Saccharomyces cerevisiae S288C: one gene and its partners. The gene in region 3 interacts genetically with the main gene of each other region. Each region holds a gene or a part of one and is shown on either strand. Other genes may lie near its edges.

Region 1 (7,045 bases), on a different chromosome or scaffold from region 3:
GCTCACACAATGAAACGCAATGGAATGTTTAGTCGTTTGTTATCATAAAGATCTCATTCAGTGCCTTGGAGTCCATCAACGCGGCCCTCTTTTGTTTTATCCATTTGGAGCGCACCGATAGTCTTGTGTTTACCGCATCGGGGATATTGGATGCAGATTCACTAGATTTTAATTTTGACGTCTTTTTCGTTTCTTTGGTCTTTTCCGCCCTTTTTTCCTTCTTCAATCTCTTCTCTTCCTTTTTATGTTTCTTATGCTCCTTTTTGTCCTTCTTGTCTTTTTTCTTGTCTTTCTTATGCTTTTTGTGCTTCTTGTGCTTCTTTTTATCACTGTCTTTATCCTCTTTGTCGTCATCATCTTCATCTTCGCTATCGTCTCCTTCCCTCTTTCGTTTCTTCGCGTTGGAGTAATTTCTTAACTTGTGAGTCTTTGGATCCCACGTGCTTGCTAAAACTTCACCCTTCACAAAATGGATACCCCATTTTCCGTCAATAATCTTCTGCTTTCTCTGCGTGTCCAATTCCTCTGATATTTTGCTTTCCTTTCCGTTCAGCCTACCAAGAATTCGCTGGAAGACATCCAACCCTGCGCATTCACCATTATCAAACTCGTCTTTTTTGTCTTTACGTTTTAATTTAGCACCGAGCCCAACGTTGTCGTCCTTAATTGACACTTTGATATGCGAAGTGTTCGAATTCATGGGGGATAACCCCAGACCCATACCGGGTTTCCATCCAAACTTTTCTAGAAATTGGTGCCCGAATCTCGAGGTGTCGTTACTCCATGCCGTATTTCTGGGGTCTAAACCAAACCGCTGTTTGGTTCTTGTAGCTGCCAAACCCATTCTGCTTCTTTGTTTAATGGTGTAAGCTGCCTATATGTTACTATTGAGTACTCATCTCATCGCTTCTTTCAGAACAAAATTTTTCATATTTTTTTTTTTTCCTTTTCTTTTTTTTTTTTTCTTTGACTGTTACCCGGTTGTTTATATTTGTAGGAAAACAACAACGACAGAGAAAATATCCTTGCAGTGGCGGCTAATTTGTTAGTTGACTGATTGATCACCTTCACTTATTAAAGTAAAATCAGCATACAAGAGATCAGAAGGGAGAAAGAGAGTGGGCAAGGCTATAGTACTTTGAAGAAAGCATCTTTGAACCGACCAGTTCTCTTCACAAGCAAAATCTATATGACTAACCGCAAGGGGCAAAGGGTTGTGAGAGGGCCCGTCTTTCTCCCGCTATAGCCGTCACTGGTATCCCTCCTGGCTGCACAAATCCGATAGAAAGGGGAAGAAGGAAGTTTAGTGCCACCTTATAGCACGCAGTTACTGTTTACGCTAAGGAGAGGCATACTCAATTTTTATTAGTCGCCTTCTTTAGTTGCTGCGTTTTTATCCACGGTTCTCTACTAAATGCTTGCGATAAGCGCTTCTATTTTCCTCCCCACCGCGAGGCGGAAATGGCACATTTTTTTTCTTTTGCTTCTGTGCTTTTGTTGTAATTTTTGGCATGTGCTATTGTATGAAGATAACGCGTGGTTCCGTGGAAATAGCCGGAAATTTTGCCGGGAATATGACGGACATGATTTAACACCCGTGGAAATGAAAAAAGCCAAGGTAAGAAAGTGGCAATATTTTTCCTACAAATAGATCTGCTGTCCCTTAAATGATTACCATACATATATATATTTATTACACATCTGTCAGAGGTAGCTAGCGAAGGTGTCACTGAAATATTTTTTGTTCCAGTTAGTATAAATACGGAGGTAGAACAGCTCTCCGCGTGTATATCTTTTTTTGCGCTATACAAGAACAGGAAGAACGCATTTCCATACCTTTTTCTCCTTACAGGTGCCCTCTGAGTAGTGTCACGAACGAGGAAAAAGATTAATATTACTGTTTTTATATTCAAAAAGAGTAAAGCCGTTGCTATATACGAATATGACGATTACCGTGGGGGATGCAGTTTCGGAGACGGAGCTGGAAAACAAAAGTCAAAACGTGGTACTATCTCCCAAGGCATCTGCTTCTTCAGACATAAGCACAGATGTTGATAAGGACACATCGTCTTCTTGGGATGACAAATCTTTGCTGCCTACAGGTGAATATATTGTGGACAGAAATAAGCCCCAAACCTACTTGAATAGCGATGATATCGAAAAAGTGACAGAATCTGATATTTTCCCTCAGAAACGTCTGTTTTCATTCTTGCACTCTAAGAAAATTCCAGAAGTACCACAAACCGATGACGAGAGGAAGATATATCCTCTGTTCCATACAAATATTATCTCTAACATGTTTTTTTGGTGGGTTCTACCCATCCTGCGAGTTGGTTATAAGAGAACGATACAGCCGAACGATCTCTTCAAAATGGATCCGAGGATGTCTATAGAGACCCTTTATGACGACTTTGAAAAAAACATGATTTACTATTTTGAGAAGACGAGGAAAAAATACCGTAAAAGACATCCAGAAGCGACAGAAGAAGAGGTTATGGAAAATGCCAAACTACCTAAACATACAGTTCTGAGAGCTTTATTATTCACTTTTAAGAAACAGTACTTCATGTCGATAGTGTTTGCAATTCTCGCTAATTGTACATCCGGTTTTAACCCCATGATTACCAAGAGGCTAATTGAGTTTGTCGAAGAAAAGGCTATTTTTCATAGCATGCATGTTAACAAAGGTATTGGTTACGCTATTGGTGCATGTTTGATGATGTTCGTTAACGGGTTGACGTTCAACCATTTCTTTCATACATCCCAACTGACTGGTGTGCAAGCTAAGTCTATTCTTACTAAAGCTGCCATGAAGAAAATGTTTAATGCATCTAATTATGCGAGACATTGTTTTCCTAACGGTAAAGTGACTTCTTTTGTAACAACAGATCTCGCTAGAATTGAATTTGCCTTATCTTTTCAGCCGTTTTTGGCTGGGTTCCCTGCAATTTTGGCTATTTGCATTGTTTTATTGATCGTTAACCTTGGACCCATTGCCTTAGTTGGGATTGGTATTTTTTTCGGTGGGTTTTTCATATCCTTATTTGCATTTAAGTTAATTCTGGGCTTTAGAATTGCTGCGAACATCTTCACTGATGCTAGAGTTACCATGATGAGAGAAGTGCTGAATAATATAAAAATGATTAAATATTATACGTGGGAGGATGCGTATGAAAAAAATATTCAAGATATTAGGACCAAAGAGATTTCTAAAGTTAGAAAAATGCAACTATCAAGAAATTTCTTGATTGCTATGGCCATGTCTTTGCCTAGTATTGCTTCATTGGTCACTTTCCTTGCAATGTACAAAGTTAATAAAGGAGGCAGGCAACCTGGTAATATTTTTGCCTCTTTATCTTTATTTCAGGTCTTGAGTTTGCAAATGTTTTTCTTACCTATTGCTATTGGTACTGGAATTGACATGATCATTGGATTGGGCCGTTTGCAAAGCTTATTGGAGGCTCCAGAAGATGATCCAAATCAGATGATTGAAATGAAGCCTTCTCCTGGCTTTGATCCAAAATTGGCTTTAAAAATGACACATTGCTCATTTGAGTGGGAAGATTATGAATTAAACGACGCTATTGAAGAAGCAAAAGGAGAAGCTAAAGATGAAGGTAAAAAGAACAAAAAAAAGCGTAAGGATACATGGGGTAAGCCATCTGCAAGTACTAATAAGGCGAAAAGATTGGACAATATGTTGAAAGACAGAGACGGCCCGGAAGATTTAGAAAAAACTTCGTTTAGGGGTTTCAAGGACTTGAACTTCGATATTAAAAAGGGCGAATTTATTATGATTACGGGACCTATTGGTACTGGTAAATCTTCATTATTGAATGCGATGGCAGGATCAATGAGAAAAACTGATGGTAAGGTTGAAGTCAACGGGGACTTATTAATGTGTGGTTATCCATGGATTCAAAATGCATCTGTAAGAGATAACATCATATTCGGTTCACCATTCAATAAAGAAAAGTATGATGAAGTAGTTCGTGTTTGCTCTTTGAAAGCTGATCTGGATATTTTACCGGCAGGCGATATGACCGAAATTGGGGAACGTGGTATTACTTTATCTGGTGGTCAAAAGGCACGTATCAATTTAGCCAGGTCTGTTTATAAGAAGAAGGATATTTATCTATTCGACGATGTCCTAAGTGCTGTCGATTCTCGTGTTGGTAAACACATCATGGATGAATGTCTAACCGGAATGCTTGCTAATAAAACCAGAATTTTAGCAACGCATCAATTGTCACTGATTGAGAGAGCTTCTAGAGTCATCGTTTTAGGTACTGATGGCCAAGTCGATATTGGTACTGTTGATGAGCTAAAAGCTCGTAATCAAACTTTGATAAATCTTTTACAATTCTCTTCTCAAAATTCGGAGAAAGAGGATGAAGAACAGGAAGCGGTTGTTGCCGGTGAATTGGGACAACTAAAATATGAATCAGAGGTAAAGGAATTGACTGAACTGAAGAAAAAGGCTACAGAAATGTCACAAACTGCAAATAGTGGTAAAATTGTAGCGGATGGTCATACTAGTAGTAAAGAAGAAAGAGCAGTCAATAGTATCAGTCTGAAAATATACCGTGAATACATTAAAGCTGCAGTAGGTAAGTGGGGTTTTATCGCACTACCGTTGTATGCAATTTTAGTCGTTGGAACCACATTCTGCTCACTTTTTTCTTCCGTTTGGTTATCTTACTGGACTGAGAATAAATTCAAAAACAGACCACCCAGTTTTTATATGGGTCTTTACTCCTTCTTTGTGTTTGCTGCTTTCATATTCATGAATGGCCAGTTCACCATACTTTGCGCAATGGGTATTATGGCATCGAAATGGTTAAATTTGAGGGCTGTGAAAAGAATTTTACACACTCCAATGTCATACATAGATACCACACCTTTGGGACGTATTCTGAACAGATTCACAAAAGATACAGATAGCTTAGATAATGAGTTAACCGAAAGTTTACGGTTGATGACATCTCAATTTGCTAATATTGTAGGTGTTTGCGTCATGTGTATTGTTTACTTGCCGTGGTTTGCTATCGCAATTCCGTTTCTTTTGGTCATCTTTGTTCTGATTGCTGATCATTATCAGAGTTCTGGTAGAGAAATTAAAAGACTTGAAGCTGTGCAACGGTCTTTTGTTTACAATAATTTAAATGAAGTTTTGGGTGGGATGGATACAATCAAAGCATACCGAAGTCAGGAACGATTTTTGGCGAAATCAGATTTTTTGATCAACAAGATGAATGAGGCGGGATACCTTGTAGTTGTCCTGCAAAGATGGGTAGGTATTTTCCTTGATATGGTTGCTATCGCATTTGCACTAATTATTACGTTATTGTGTGTTACGAGAGCCTTTCCTATTTCCGCGGCTTCAGTTGGTGTTTTGTTGACTTATGTATTACAATTGCCTGGTCTATTAAATACCATTTTAAGGGCAATGACTCAAACAGAGAATGACATGAATAGTGCCGAAAGATTGGTAACATATGCAACTGAACTACCACTAGAGGCATCCTATAGAAAGCCCGAAATGACACCTCCAGAGTCATGGCCCTCAATGGGCGAAATAATTTTTGAAAATGTTGATTTTGCCTATAGACCTGGTTTACCTATAGTTTTAAAAAATCTTAACTTGAATATCAAGAGTGGGGAAAAAATTGGTATCTGTGGTCGTACAGGTGCTGGTAAGTCCACTATTATGAGTGCCCTTTACAGGTTGAATGAATTGACCGCAGGTAAAATTTTAATTGACAATGTTGATATAAGTCAGCTGGGACTTTTCGATTTAAGAAGAAAATTAGCCATCATTCCACAAGATCCAGTATTATTTAGGGGTACGATTCGCAAGAACTTAGATCCATTTAATGAGCGTACAGATGACGAATTATGGGATGCATTGGTGAGAGGTGGTGCTATCGCCAAGGATGACTTGCCGGAAGTGAAATTGCAAAAACCTGATGAAAATGGTACTCATGGTAAAATGCATAAGTTCCATTTAGATCAAGCAGTGGAAGAAGAGGGCTCCAATTTCTCCTTAGGTGAGAGACAACTATTAGCATTAACAAGGGCATTGGTCCGCCAATCAAAAATATTGATTTTGGATGAGGCTACATCCTCAGTGGACTACGAAACGGATGGCAAAATCCAAACACGTATTGTTGAGGAATTTGGAGATTGTACAATTTTGTGTATTGCTCACAGACTGAAGACCATTGTAAATTATGATCGTATTCTTGTTTTAGAGAAGGGTGAAGTCGCAGAATTCGATACACCATGGACGTTGTTTAGTCAAGAAGATAGTATTTTCAGAAGCATGTGTTCTAGATCTGGTATTGTGGAAAATGATTTCGAGAACAGAAGTTAATTTATATTATTTGTTGCATGATTTTTCTCTTTTATTTATTTATATGTTGCCGATGGTACAAATTAGTACTAGAAAAGAAAACCCACTACTATGACTTGCAGAAAAAGTTATGTGTGCCATAGATAGATATAATTGCATACCCACATTGTATACTCAAAATTCCGAAAAGAACATTTCATTTTTTATGAGGCAAACTGGACAACGCCTTCGGTCCTTTTTCATTCTAGAAATATATATTTATACATCATTTTCAGAAGATATTCAAAGAACTTATTGGGATGTCTGTTTACTGAATAAAGTATACACAAAATACGAATTTAAAATGGAAGGCATAAAATAGAAAACTTAGAAGTGAAAATCCTAAAACCGAAGGATATTTCAAATACGTAAAAGAAGTGAAAGATAAAATAAAGCCTAAATAAGGAAGAAAAGAAGGGATAACATTTTTTTTTGTTACTTTTTGCTTATTCCTCACCTAAACAGAAGGAAAAAGCCATTCTTGTTTAAAGAGTATTTTTAAAGCGTTCATGAAAAGTCACAGTCCAAGGAGTATTTCAAATTGTCACTTGAAGTGAAAACACCCCAGTGCTTCTCGACATCAGAGGTACCAGAGGTGTTTGGCTTCCAATCTTCATCAAAGGCTTCAAAAACAATAACGTTAACACCCCA
Region 2 (3,372 bases), on a different chromosome or scaffold from region 3:
AGCGTAGGAGAAGAATTGCGATACATGCCCCACCTATCAGGCTTGACGACATCAATCTGGAAGAGCTCTTGGAATTTGCTGTCCGACTTTTCGAAGTCCTTGTTTTTTAGATCAATCAGAGCGTCCTGCAAAATATTAAAACTCTGTTCTATTTGAAGCTCTCTTGAATGCTCCTCTGCTTCATATTGTTCACCTTCGATGTTTGAATTGAGGGCATTGAACATAGACATAATAAGCTTTATCTAGAATCTGTGTTGAGGTTCTAACTCCTTAAAGTGCCTTTACGGACCTGCCTTGCTACCGTCTATTTGTATTTCTGCTCTTCCCAACGTAAACAATTCAATAAATAATTTCGCGATGGCACATAGTAACAAGCTGTTAAATCGAAGTAAAGAAAAGGAAAGTCAAGAAAACAAAGAGAGAAACAAATGCAAGGGTGATGGTTCAATATGTGGTAGAATGGTTACCAAGGATACAGAGCATTTCAGTGGTAGTAGAAGGTTGGAAGCAGGTGGAGATAAAGAACTTGAAGGACACACTCATGAGCATATCTGGTGATGAAGAACAAGTTGAAGATATTTTACTTCCAGTAGAAGTTGAAGAAAAAGTAGACGCTTCTTACAAGTTCAAAAACAGAGGTAAAGACTTAGAATGGATGACGAAGTTAAGAAGCAAATCCTCTAAGATATATGACAGTTCTATCATGTCGCTTCCAGATGGAAGATGGACTAAAGAAGAGCTTCGCTCAGATTCTGATTTCTCGATAGAATGTCTTAACTGTAAGCAAAAAATTATAAGCAAAGATAACTGTCAAGTTTTGAATGATATGCCTTCAGAGTTTTGGTTCGAGTTAATGGATTATTGGCATTGCCACAAACCCGATGTTAAGGAAGACAAGTCTTCCTACACAAGATTTGAAACGCTAAAACCATCTAAAAACGAAATTTTAATTGGAAGCTCTTATTTTCAAGGCACTCCTGCGACTTTTGAAAATGTAGCGACTACAAAGGAAAATGATAATGTTTTATGCATAAAGTGCTCAGCAGTGTTAGGCCAAGTAACTGCTGGTTCGCTTTATAAACTACACAAATGGAAACTGCAGTTAATACGCAGTGGAAACACATACAAATTTCCTCCAGAATGTGACATTACAATTTCTTTAATAAACGTAGTTAAGGCAAACTCTTGTCGTTACGTACTAGTAAAATGTAAAACGGAATCATTGCTAGTTTGGATATTTTCCGTTGACATTGGAGTCACATTGACGGGAAACAAAAGCTTCAAGAGAGCGATGAAGTTGCTTTACACAAACAGCGTTACCACAATAAATCGATGTCTCAATCGACAAGTCGTCGAGGAATTAGATTTCCAAGAAACATCGTTTAATGCTTTTTACAGCGCCCTTCAACATACTAATGCACTTTTACCCTCAAGCATGAAAAAAATTGGTGAATGGACCATTAGCTATACATCACTAATCTAATTTTAAGAACCATTCTCTTTCAAATTTGTACAAATATTGTCATCAAGTAATAAATAGCTTCTTTTTTTTTTTAACATACAGTTGTAGAATTAACTTCGTTGGCCGAAGAATTGCACAACAATAGCGTTTGTTATATTACTAAATATAGGGGCTTTCTTGGGAACGAAAGTGAAACAAACGCTTTTAATACAATGAAGGTCGAGAAATCATCTAAAGGCTTGGAAGTTTTAGTGAGGACACAGGAGGATGATCTAGAGGGGTTCTCTTTCCTGGAGATTATGGACCGCGTAGACCCTTTACCATTAGACTTCGAGAATTACAAAAATTTCAAAGAGGGCATTTACTATATGTGTACACACGATGGCACAAAGATCGGTTTCGTGTTGAAATTTGCGATAAATGAAATGGAGACTGTTTGCTCGGAAATCTTCGAAGAAACCTTCCAATTAGATGAATCTAGACATGAGTTAAGGTTTAAAAGTGAAGATTTTGATCATAGAAACAATCTAATTGACCAATTGGCTCGTAAAATGTATTTAGAATCATCCTTGAGTGGTGTGAAGGGCTGGAGAAACGAGAAATATGCCGTTTGGGTTAATAAAAAACCCTATGTACTGGTTGAGCGTGCAGTAGCAGGTGTTCTTGGTATAATTACCTACGGGATTCATATTAATGGTTATGTGCTAGATCCAAAGTCAAAAAAAGTTCAGTTTTGGGTTCCAAGAAGATCTAAAACGAAACAAACATGGCCGCTAATGCTTGACAACATTATCGCCGGGGGATTAGGTTATCCTTATGGTATCTATGAAACAGTTTTGAAAGAAAGCATGGAGGAAGCCAATCTAGAAAAGAGTGTTATTGAGGATAACATTAAAGCAACTGGTTCAGTTTCCTACCTTTACTTTACGGGTGATATTTCTGTAACGAAGTTCAATAAGGAATCAGATTTTATCGTAGGGGAAGTACAATATGTATACGATCTAAAACTCAGCGAAGACATCATTCCAAAACCAAACGATGGTGAAGTCGAGAGTTTCAATTTATTCAGCCTGCAAGAGACGATTAATGCTTTAAGAAAAAAAGAGTTCAAACCAAATTGTGCATTGGTAATGGTAGATTTCTTGATTAGACATGGCTACATCACTCCAGAAAATGAGCCCAATTATCTTGAACTAGTAACTAGAATGCACAGAAGGTTACCATTCCCCACCTTGAATTAACATTCAAGAGGTTACCGGTTGATATCTAAACAAATATAAAGAATTTTTTTCATATATACACATCTAGGTACATACTATCTAAGATCAAAAGTACTCTATTTTGTCACTAAACGGAGGAAGGCGTTCAGTTCGTTTGTGGTTAGTGAACAGAAAAAGTTACTTGGAGAAATTTAATTCTATGTCAAACCACTCTCTAGAAACAACTTCCGATGGTGACAAGCTGACATCTCCATACACTAGTGGTGAAAAGTATACAAAAAACCACGCAACAGCACAGGAGACACACACCAAGAAGACGGTATAGGGTTTAACGTAGACCTTAGGGTTCCGTTCATATGATGCACCTGAAATATCCTCGTCTTTCTCCAAATCCAATGATTTGCAATCACTGAAAATTACTTCCCATAGTGCTCCTGAGAATAAGCACGCGATTAAATGAGCTGGTAAGTAATGATGCAAAAACTTTTGACGCGCCATTAAAAAGAATGGAAAATAATGACAGCACCAGGAGACGAAGAAAAACATCAATGGGCCATACAGCTTTTCTCTGGTCATCTTGTTTAGGGCATAATAGCCACGATGTCTAGTAATTAAATCGGCCACGATAATGCCAACAAAAACAGCCAATGATATGACTTGGAACCACCACCCAATGATGTTACCAATGAA
Region 3 (2,973 bases):
GGCGTAACCAATGATACCGACTGCAATAAAACCAATACCAACAGCCTTGACAATCTTGGTGTATTCCTTCAAATCAGGTTTCTTACACTTGGCCAAGAATTGAGTACCTTCTCTGACAAATTCTACAGGTGCTTCAACCAGCTTTTCAACCTGGTTGTTGCTCTGCTTTTTCTCTTCACCTTTTTCACTAGCTCTAGCCATTTTATTTTTCAATGTTATACGTGATTTTATCTTTGGTAAACTAGCGTAGTGCGGACAATGGACACGAGTTATGGACAATACACGCCAATCTGTACTATTTTCCTTGTTTAATTTAATCACTAGTATTCTTTCATTTCAAAACGAAAAAAAAATAAAAAAAATGTTGCGAGGAAAAAAAGGCGACGTGTTTCGCATTCCGCCAATATCCACAGAGGGTAATGAATTTTTCGTACTATAGATATACAACTACAATTTATATGAGCGACTTACGATTACTTACATACTACCGCCAGGAAGAATCAAAATCCCTTCCACTCTTCCTCTTCCTCTTCTTCAGATTCGTTACTGGAATCATTATGTTGCGTTTCGCCTTCAAGAATATCCCAGGAAACAAGTCTGGTGTCACTGAATAGGTCTTCTTTGATCTTCTCTCTCAACACCTTACTGTTATTGTAATCTGCCACGATATCTTGGAAAATTGCGATAACATCGGCTAGTGGCGTTTTTTTTGCGCTCTCTGCAATTTTGCGCATCTCTTCCTCTTTGTTTTCCTCGTCTTCATCGTCTTCATCTCCATCTTTAAGCAATCTTTCCCATTCGTCCAGCAGAATATCGACGATATGAATTGGAATCCCTGTGTAGACCTTTGGACTTCCACTCAGAGGTAACCACCTCAACACTTTCTTAATATACTCGTCGACTAATTTTTTGTCCCAGTTTCTGGACTGCAAATACTTCAATTGACTGAATAATACCCTTCTTATCAATAGAAGATACTTATCCAACCTATATCTGTCAATGTTAAACCATTCAAAGCACATGACCTTCCAAAACCCTCTGCTAAACTTTATAAATGCTTTATCGTTTGTGGTCAACTCATCTGCAGTGCTATTGTCCTTAGGATCAAAATATAATCCATGCAATTCACCTAATTCATTGGCTAAACGTTGCTGAGGTCTAGGACGGTCACTGAACCACATTGCATAGTAAAGACCCTTCCAAAGTTTATTGAATTCTATTTGTTTGTTCTCCTTGAACTGTTTAGCGGTTAGATATTTCTTTAACGCTTCGAGTGCATTTACCCTGGTTTTTCTGTTGTTCGACGATAATTGTTTAACAAAGTTGGAGGTCTCCATTGTGAATGTTCTCACTCGATTTTTTAAGTGTCTATTTAGTGTATTATGCCGTGAATGCGCAAGATATATACGTATACTTAAGAATGTAGTTTATATTTGACAATTTTTTTCAGCTCATCGCATTTTTTTTTCTAAATTCTTTACCTCTCGTGCTCCGTGACTAGGATATTGGAAATTCAAATGATATAACTTAACCATATAAATCTTTTAAGTGGTTCCGTTGTTCCTCAGATTGCTTTGTACCATCTACTTTCCTAGCTTCCAGATCTCCAATGCTGACAATCTTGGGCTGCTTGGTTTCTTCTTGTTCCCGTTTTTTCTTCAGATATTCATATTTAGTAGGATTGGCGACTAAAACATGTTGTACTTTTTCCTTATCCTCAATTTCATCACGTATACCCATTTCCTTAGCGTGAGATCTAGCAAACTGGTTCAATTCGTTTAATTTTAGGCCTTCACCTGTCAAATGTCTGCGGAACATTTTTGATTTTTCATCAACTGCGCCCAGTGTTTCAGTTTTGTACAATCTTGATTTAGGATCATAATTACTCTCCGTTGAATTTATGTCGTTCAAGTAAGCAGCCTTATCTTCTCTCAATCTCGTTGATGTCCTATACAACTGAGAATTATCAGCATCATCTTTCTTCAATGAACCTACGGAATCCTTGTAAAGTTCTAACTTCATTAGTTCTATCTCTTCATCTGTATCCCATAGTGTTTCATCAGTTTGGGATTTGTCTTTTCCTTTTATTTTATTTCTTTTATCACGCTCCCACTTACTTATCAGTTCATTGTATTCTTTCCCTGAGTAACCGTACCATCTATCTTTTCTGGAGTCCCAGTCATCATCAGTAGCTCGTACTAAAACTGTGCCATTATTTTTTTGTGAATTTAAATCGGGAACAAGCTTCTGCATCTTACGAGGTTTTTCCATGCAGTCTTTCTCCTTATGCCCTGCTTCCCCACAATTCCTACAAAATGACAGCGAATGAGAATCTCGGACGGACATCTTCTGGGGTCTGATTAGTTTGAACTCATCCTTTATACCCATACCAATTTTTGGTTCTGAATTATTGTCAATATCTAAAGCACCCCCTTTTGCTTTTTGCCTATGATGCACCAAGTAGTCGCTTTTTTCTCCTCCTTCTGCAGTGCTCGTATCATCATTGCCGGGCTTCTTCCCTTCTTGTTCTTTGGGGGTATCCTTATAGTACCATGGTTGATTTCTAATATACCTGGGGATATGAATATTTTCATTTTTTTCTTTTGCTTGTTGTAGTTGCCTTTTATTTCTGTTAATAGTGCTTCGATTTTCGTTGTTTCTGCTGTTATTATTCATTATGTAATCCGATCGTTGTATTTCAGTGTAACTGGTATCTTTTTCAGAAGTGCTCGATAAATGATATACGCAGACTTGATTATTGATTTACTTGAAAGGCAAGCTATTCAATAGATAACGAAGGAGTTATCGTTATGGGTACTATTATTGTCTTTCCGCGTTCGAACTAGTCACTAGTTGTTCCAATGAAATGTACTTTAAAAAAACTCGACAACTTCTCCAATTAAATTGAAGAGTACGGCAGCTGAGGTTACCAACTCTTTTCTATATTTTAATTGTCACTAGGTATAAAAATCA

Evidence for each region. A genetic interaction does not mean that the proteins touch.
Region 1: mutations in RRP1 (region 3) and YOR1 together harm fitness more than expected from each alone (negative genetic interaction), as found in Saccharomyces cerevisiae (2 studies listed by BioGRID).
Region 2: mutations in RRP1 (region 3) and YJR142W together harm fitness more than expected from each alone (negative genetic interaction), as found in Saccharomyces cerevisiae (2 studies listed by BioGRID).

Annotation. Positions count from the first base shown.
Region 1 is NC_001139.9:1,050,882-1,057,926, forward strand, and holds YOR1 (ATP-binding cassette transporter YOR1), read left to right. Parts: upstream 1-1,942; coding exon 1,943-6,376; downstream 6,377-7,045. Other genes in the region: PXR1 (telomerase inhibitor), read right to left, coding at 29-844; BGL2 (glucan 1,3-beta-glucosidase), read right to left, coding at 6,902-7,045. UniProt on the Saccharomyces cerevisiae protein: Functions as a pleiotropic drug pump at the plasma membrane to clear toxic substances from the cytosol. Organic anion transporter involved in the detoxification of a wide range of toxic environmental organic anions that contain carboxyl groups.
Region 2 is NC_001142.9:695,467-698,838, forward strand, and holds YJR142W (uncharacterized protein), read left to right. Parts: upstream 1-1,674; coding exon 1,675-2,703; downstream 2,704-3,372. Other genes in the region: HIR3 (Hir3p), read right to left, coding at 1-230; IPA1 (putative polyadenylation protein), read left to right, coding at 440-1,483; PMT4 (dolichyl-phosphate-mannose-protein mannosyltransferase), read right to left, coding at 2,860-3,372.
Region 3 is NC_001136.10:616,970-619,942, forward strand, and holds RRP1 (Rrp1p), read right to left. Parts: upstream 1,338-2,973; coding exon 501-1,337; downstream 1-500. Other genes in the region: translocon subunit SSS1, read right to left, coding at 1-201; mRNA splicing protein SLU7, read right to left, coding at 1,528-2,676. UniProt on the Saccharomyces cerevisiae protein: Required for 27S rRNA processing to 25S and 5.8S.